Elephas maximus indicus: one gene and its partner. The protein of the gene in region 1 purifies or fractionates together with the protein of each later gene. This does not show direct contact. Links are inferred from orthologs where the notes say so. Each region holds a gene or a part of one and is shown in the gene's direction. Other genes may lie near its edges. The genes, in order: ACBD6 and NMT1.

The links.
Region 2: the proteins of ACBD6 (region 1) and NMT1 purify together in Homo sapiens (co-immunoprecipitation; 3 studies listed by BioGRID and IntAct, with this or other methods). This does not show direct contact. The link is inferred for Elephas maximus indicus from reciprocal best matches to the Homo sapiens genes ACBD6 and NMT1.

Annotation. Positions count from the first base shown.
Region 1 is NC_064842.1:43,554,335-43,558,252, reverse strand, and holds the start of ACBD6 (acyl-CoA-binding domain-containing protein 6), read left to right. Parts: upstream 1-913; 5' UTR 914-1,619; coding exon 1,620-1,844; intron 1,845-3,918. UniProt on the Homo sapiens protein: Binds long-chain acyl-coenzyme A molecules with a strong preference for unsaturated C18:1-CoA, lower affinity for unsaturated C20:4-CoA, and very weak affinity for saturated C16:0-CoA. Does not bind fatty acids. Plays a role in protein N-myristoylation.
Region 2 is NC_064837.1:51,465,547-51,469,464, forward strand, and holds the start of NMT1 (glycylpeptide N-tetradecanoyltransferase 1), read left to right. Parts: upstream 1-1,219; 5' UTR 1,220-1,257; coding exon 1,258-1,388; intron 1,389-3,918.

The DNA of each region.
Region 1 (3,918 bases):
CCCAATACGTCGTTATTATTATTATCACTATTTGATTGCAGAAGTGTGTTCATTTTATCAGCCACTCCTTAACTGGACTGAGTGTCTTGAGGGCAGGGAATAACAGTGGCACTTTCTGGGCACTCAAGGAATGTTTGTTTAATCCTGATCCAAGCTGTCTCACCTTCCTGCCTTCTTTCACTCTGTTCCCTCGTCCTGTCCTTATCTTCGTTCACCTGTCTAAAGTCTAACCCTAAATGGTCAACGAGGCTCTGGTGGCTCAGTGGTTAAGAGCTCAGGCTTCTAACCAACAGATCGACAGCTCAAATCCCGTAGGAAACCCTATGGGGCAGTTCTACTCTGTCCTATAGGGTCGCTATGGGTCAGAACCGCCTCAACGGCAACAAGTTTTTTTTCACAGAATGAGCAATAACCATTCTTTATAACACTTTCTACCATTCTTATGATGCTTATTAGAGTGTTTTGAGTACTAAGTGAATACAGTACCTTTTTTTCTTTTTTTACACCACCACTTAGGACATAATGAAACACTCAGTAAATGTTAACCATTATTATTAATGCCATAGTTTTTGCATTTTTTAAAAGTTTCTTTAGGACAGAATTATGTCGTATTTTTCTGGTCTCACTTCATACTGTTTACAAAGCACAGCTACGAAGACTGAGTTCGGAAGAGACTGGTGCCAAGGGAAGGGATCCCAGTTAAGCTTATTTTAGAGCTCTGAGAATTGAAGGATTCGGCAGGTGTGGAAAGTAAGACACGCAAACCAATCCCATACATTCAAAACACAGGAAAACCCTTAAGCAGCACCACATGTGCGCGCAGGGATCCGCGCCCGTTTGGGGCGTGCTGGCCACAGCGGTGGAGAGGCGGGCACAAGCGGAACCTTGGTTCTCACTTTCTGTTTCCCGCGACTCTACTCAGACCGCTACACTACCGAATAGATGGCCTCCTTCTCCCACGCCCCCGGCACCGACGACCCATTCCGAGGACGGGTTCCGGAGTCTGTGACTACGAATTTCAACAAAACGATTAACGAACGCCCCAACCGCCGAAGACCCTGTGTCCAGCAACGTTCCCCCAGCGAGGTCCCCCGAGTTCTCTGCAGGGGAAGACGTCCACCGTAGGCCCGCCCCGCTTCCCCTACCAGCGCTGAGCAGGGCCAAACCAGTAGCGCGCCGCACGTCGCCGCGCGCAGCCCCGGGCACGTGCCCGGCCGCGAGCTCAGCGCTCAGGCTGCCCCGCCTCCGCCCGCCCCTCCGCCGGCCTGTCCTGCCGCCGCGCGCTGCCTGGGCTCCGGTACCTGGGAGCTCCGCTGCGTCCCGCCTTCTGCGCCGTTGAGGGACCTGCTGCGAGCCTGAGCGCTCCGCTGGCCGGAGGGAAGGCGGGGAGGCCGGATCAGCCGGGAGGGAGCTGCGGAGCGTAGCAGCGGCTGTCGTGCGCGCCCAGGTGTGGAGGTGGGACGAGGCAGAGTTCCGTGAGGGAGCGCGGAGCAGGTGAGCTTGGGTCCGCCTCGGGCTCGGGCTGAGGAGCGAGGCTGGTCCCCGAGGCCCCCGAGCTGGCGGTACACCCGTCCTGAGGAGGACAGACCCGACGTAGAGGACGGACCGAGCAAGGTGACATGGCCTCGCCATTCCTGCCCACGGGGGCCACCATGGGCGGCCTCGGCGGGGAGCTGAGCTCGGGGGACGACTCCGGTGATGTCGGTGGATCCCTCCAGAGCCCCGAGACCGAGGCATCCGGGAGCCTGACAGAGCTGTTCGAGAAGGCTGCAGCGCACCTCCAAGGCCTGATTCAGGTGGCCAGCAGGGAGCAGCTCCTCTACCTGTATGCCAGATACAAGCAGGTAAAGTCGCAGGGAAGGGGTGGCTGTGGGAGAGAGACAAGGGGGCCTTCTCTTTCCTCCAAAAACCGGTAACACCCTGCATGGTTAATGGGTAGGTGTAATGGAGTTTCTGTGTGTGTGTGTTTTGGGTTTTTATGTGTGTTTGTTTTGTGTTTTAGTCATCTGCTGGGGATTAGCATCATTCTGGTCATGGGAAGGCCCAGTGTACTCTCCTGGGAGTGATATTTGGTTGGACACTGACAGTTTTTCTGTCTTCTCCGACTTGCTCAGTGACCTTGCACATACGCTTCCAGGAGCCTTAACCTTTACAAAATGAGGGTGATAAAATAAGATTTATCAGTCGCTATTGCCAAAGGGTTAGATGGAAATACATATGGTAATGTTAATAAAAATCTTTGCAATCCAGGAGAATGACATGATTGTAATAAATAGAATTGTACAATACAAAAACAAAATACTACTTTTATTATTGTTATTTATTATTATTATTTTTAATCCTAACTTCCTTAGACTTAGGTTTTGGCTGAATGTTTCTTCTGTTAGATACAATCATAAAAAGTTTAGATCTAGTAAAGACCAGATCAGATAATCCCCTTCTTTTATAGAAAAAGTAACCAGAGCCCAAAGAGGGTAGGTAACTTGCCCAGGGTCATACAAATAAATTAGAACTAGATTATATCTCCTCTGTCTAAGGTGCTGAACTTTACCTGGAAATATGTATGGGTAAATGAATGAGTAATTCATATAAGACATGTTTAATTTATCAGTCAAAGAATAACTGGTTAGGTGATGGAAGGAAAAATAATTGCATTATAAATTAACAAATATTTGTTTGGCATCTTTATCTGCAAACCAAGTATTATGCCTACAGGGAATGCAATGCAGAAGCAAAAGCTTGGCACTACTTGCCCTCCAGAGGCTTACAGAGTACTTGGAGGGTCTAGATGTGAACAAATAGCAAATCAGTGCAAGAGTTTAATAACAGTTCAGGTAAACTCCGGCTGTTTGGGGGGAGTGCTGGATAATAGCCCATTTTATTAAAATATATATATTTTTAACCTTTATTTGGTCTCTTGTATTTTAACTTTTGTTGATGGAAATCATTCTAAAAGATATAATTATACATTTTCCCTGTGTTCTTAAACTGAATATACTGAATAGAGATGGACTTTATTTTGAAGACTGGTGATGATTATTCTGAATATCAGTTAATGTGGCCTGAGAGATATAGCTGTAGGTACAAATGGTATAAATCACAGTGTTGAATGAAAATTGCCCCCAAAACTGGCTTTGGAGGTTGTTTTTTGCAAAAGGTCTGGATATTTATTTACCCTTCAGTCATTTACTGTTTTCTAACAACATTAGACTGAAACCTTTGATTATGTAACACGTATTTACTGAGCACTGTGGCACATGTGTGACTGATGGACGATTCTCTGAGCAATACAAGACTAATTTTCTCCAAATTCCTTAGAGAAGTTCTTTATTCTTTATAGAATGTATATTTATTGATATTAGCATCATCATTATTAAATGCCTGATTTCTGAGTCACCAGTGAACCACAATAACCTGTCAGCTTATAACCATTCTGTCTCAGGTATACTCACTTCATCCCCACAGTCTGAAGGAAGAGCGATCTTCACCATTTCCAGAACTTGATTTCAGGGTGTTTGGAGATATTCTGTATCCGAAAATAAAATTCTTCATTACTGGAGAATCAGATTGTGCTTGCTTAGGCATGATGCTGGGTTACAGTTTTCATCAGTCTGTTATAAATATTTCATTTTTAACAATAGCATCTTTAATAGAATAACGAAGTTGTAAGTCCAATATAATGCCTGCACAGTGGATCAGAATTTCTCATAAAACCATTTCTTTAAAACATTTTCAATTCCAGATAGCACCCTGTTTTGTAGGCTGAATGAATGAGGTAAGGTGGTCAGGCAGGAAGATGATACAAACAAGCGGAGATACGAACCTTAATTTCTTAGGCTGAGCTCTAAACTTACCTAACATAATAACTGTTTTAGCCTCACGTATGTCTGTGGTTCCAAAATCATCTTTAAATGAAGT
Region 2 (3,918 bases), on another chromosome or scaffold:
TTGGAAACGCTATGGGGCAATTTTACTGTCCTATAGGGTGACTATGAGTTGAAATCGACTCTATAGCAAGGGGTTTGGTTTGGTTTAGTCCTTCCCTCATCACCCATTACACCCAACCTGAATAGGAAACCTCTAAGAATGGAACCGTGGAATCTCTCTTCAGTACCCAGGTCAAAGATTACTCCATCACAGGGGTGAGACCCAAGGGACTAAAGCATTCAGTCAAGGCTACAAATAAATTAAAAAATTGCAATTACCTTCTAATAACAGATTTCCTTGGGTAGATGTGCATATCAGACACTGGAACTTTTGTGGTGGTAAAGAATTCAGAAGGCCTAGGGGCAGATAAATCCCCATTTGTATACTGACTTCGCCACGTATTAGCTCTGTGACTGTGTGCAAGTGACCAATCTCTCTGGGCCTCATTTCTTCATCTGTGAAAAAGAGAAATAATAATATCATCCGCATTCTAGGCTTGTTGAGAGGATAAAATGAGAGAATGTATGAAAAGCCTTACCACAGTGCCTGGCATACACGTGCTCAGTAAAGAGTAGTTGTGGAGTGCTGTTTTGGAGAAAGAAAGGGAAAATGTGTGCAGAAAGGCTGAGTGGAGATCAGCACGTGAAGGACAAGAAGCGACGAGGCCCGGCTGAGCAGTCAGGTCTCCTGCCTCGCGAGGCCTTGAACTACCAACGACCAGAGATTGCCAAGTGTGCCGAGGGAGGAAAGCGGACAGGGGCCAACCGGACTTCTTGCAGGAAAGTCCCCTCCAAGGCCCGAACCATGCGAGCTCCGGACGGGTCGCATCCACCGGCCGCTGGCCCTCTCACTTACCCGGGAATGGTAACGGTCCTTAACGGCAGCCAATAACGGCTTACCTGTGGCCTAGGCAATAGCAAGGGCAGGCTGAGGTCAAACCTTGGATTTTGAAGCCTCCACACCTGGAACCCTAAACTACCATCGAACTACAATTCCTAGCATGCCAAGCGGTCACCCCGGCCCTTCTCTCCCCTAAAGCGCGGCCGAGCACCTAGGGCTTCCGGGTATTGCTGCCCCGCCCAATATAGAGGACACCGCCCCCCATGATTTCTGGGTACTGTAGTCCACTCGTTTCCGTTTTCAGGGAATAAGCCGCACCTAGTTGCGGGCCATCCATCCGCAAAAAAACTACAAAACCCAGAAGATAACGCAAGTTTCTCTCGTCCAATAGGAACTCCGCATGTAGCGCGGCGCGGAGCTCGGCTCTCGCAGCTCAAGATGGCGGACGAGAGTGAGACAGCAGTGAAGCCGCCGGCACCTCCGCCGCCGCAAATGATGGAAGGGAACGGAAACGGCCATGAACACTGCAGCGATTGCGAGAACGAGGAGGACAACAGCTACAACCGGGGGTAACGAGATCCTCGGAGTTCAGTTCCCGTCCAGTCTCCCCACAACCTGGGTTTTTGGGGTGCGGGGAAGTAACCGGGAGCTTAGTCTAACCCCACCCCTGTATTCTTATTGGCTAAGGGATTGGGATCTTGCCTGGCGATTGGTTGCCGTTTTTGTCATTCACCAAAGGTGGGTGTTCAGTATATCGAGGGCCGGAGACATTCAATACTTCCATTATATAAAAGTTCTTCTGTGTGATGTTCCACTCGTGTGCTTGAGGTGCGTCTGAGGAAAAGAACAATTTGGACGATGGTTTTTGATGGCACAACCCGGGGCAATCCAATGACAGTACAGTTCAAAGGGAACGTTACCTGTAGAGGTACTGTATGAACAGACTGATTAGCAATAAACGAATAATAAAACATTTCCTCTAGTTCCCCTTCAATGAGGAAATCCATCAAGCTATACAAACCGTAATTATATTGTAAAATATTACTACTAGAGAATCCTAAAATATATACTGGCCTTAAAAATCCTAGGTAATTACTGTATGATAATGTTTTGAGTTATACGGTGTCCGTTGCTCCAAATAATTCATGTTTCCTGAACAATGTAATTAGGTCTTCCCACATCCTTGCTCTATTAACTTTGCGAAGTAGCCTCAAGCTTCGAGAAATTGAGTGATGTTGCTTCTCGGACAGTTTGGAAACTGTGGATTTAATACTGCATCTTATACTTTAGAGTCTTGCTTACTAGTAACTGCATTTCTTCTTTGGGAAGAAGAAATGCATCAGGCTTTTGAGTATTGAGTTCTTTTAAGCCACAGCCTATCATTCTTCTTTCTTCACATTGTTATGGGGACTGGCACCCTATACCAAAAAACCCAAACCAAACCCGTTGCTGTTGAGTCAATTCCGACTCATAGCGACCCTATAGGACAGAGTAGAACTGCCCCCATCGGTTTCCAGGGAGCACCTGGTGGATTCTAACTGCCGACCTCTTGGTTAGCAGCCATAGTTCTTAACCACTACCTAATCTACTATATTCACATATATATTATTAGTCGTGAGACACTGTTTTGGCTGTATAATTCTGAGTCTGTGGTAGTCTGATTTTTCATAGCCAGCTTGTCATTTGCAGTGCTAATGGTAGTCCCAGAGAAGAAGGTTGAGGTTTTTGGAAACTTTCTTTTTTTTCTTAATTCTGCTACCTAGTGGGGACTGGAGAGTGAAGGATTACTTAAGTAGTTTATAGTCTGCTTGTTGTGATGAATCTTTATAGCTTTTATGTTCTTCCAAGAGCATAAAACTCACACAAAGAACATAGAGGGAAAGGTAGCTTGCCAAATTTAGGTTTATAAGACTGTGTTCTGTTGCTGTAACTCACAACAGTTCTAATGTAATAAAAGCCTTGTTTTGAAGTTTGAGATTCCTTAGAAGAGCTAAGAAAGAGGAAGTAGGAACAGGAAGAAGGGAAAGTGCAGCTTTCCTAGGTAGAGGTTAGAGTCAGAGACGAGAGTTATTGAATGTGAAAGTCATTTCAGAAGTGAAAATATGACTTTTTCATTGTTCTTTGCGTAGTGTGCTTTGAGTTTTCTCTGCTTAAGCCATTGCTGTGATCTGTGTCTATAATTCTTCAGTAGGTTTTGTTCCCTACATGCTATGAATCACTTTGCAAAACTGTCTGGCAGAAAGTTTTGTGTTCATGGTACAACTAAGTGGCAGCCTAAAAAAAAAAACTTTGGAGATGTTTTTGTTGTTGTTTTTGTACATGCTTGTGGCTTGGGTAAGGAGCCCTGGTGGGGCAGTGGTTAAAGCATTCAGCTGCTAGCCAAAAGGTAGTCGGTTTGAACCCACCAGTCCCTCCACAGGAGAAAGATGTGGCAGTCAACTTCCAAAAAGATTTGCAGCCTTGGAAATACTATGGGGCAGTTCTGCTCTGTCCTATAGGGTCCATGTGAGTAGGAATTGGGCTTGTATGTTTATGGTCTGGTTGAGTTAAGTTTATTAGCATCCAAAATCTAGAGGTCTGTGAAAAACAGAGGACCCAGCCTGGAGGAGAGAGTCCGATTCTGGCACTTAGATAATAGAATCTGAGGTAGAATCAACACTTTTCAATTAATTGTCAGAGGAGGTTTGGGGAAGAAGCAGCGTGACATGGTGGGAAAAGCATGGACTTTGGAGTCATTCATACATGGGTTCAAAGTCTCATTCTGACACTTGATGTGTGACCTTGGGAAAGTTACTTAACCTAGACTTGTGGGGATTAAATGAGATAACATCTGGAATGCAACCCTCTGGCTTTGCATCCTGCTCTTCCTTCAAATCTTCCCCATCCCCTTCCCCTAGCTGCCTCCCTGCTTTTATCACATACTGTATTTTTCATAGCTTTTATCAGAACAGTAATTAAATAACCCACTGCCATCCAGTTGATTCTGACTCACAGCAACCCTATTGGACTGGGCAGAACTGCCCCATAGGGTTTCCAAGGCATTAACCTTTATGGAAGCAGACTGCCATGGCTTTCTCCCATGGAGCAGCTAAGGAGTTC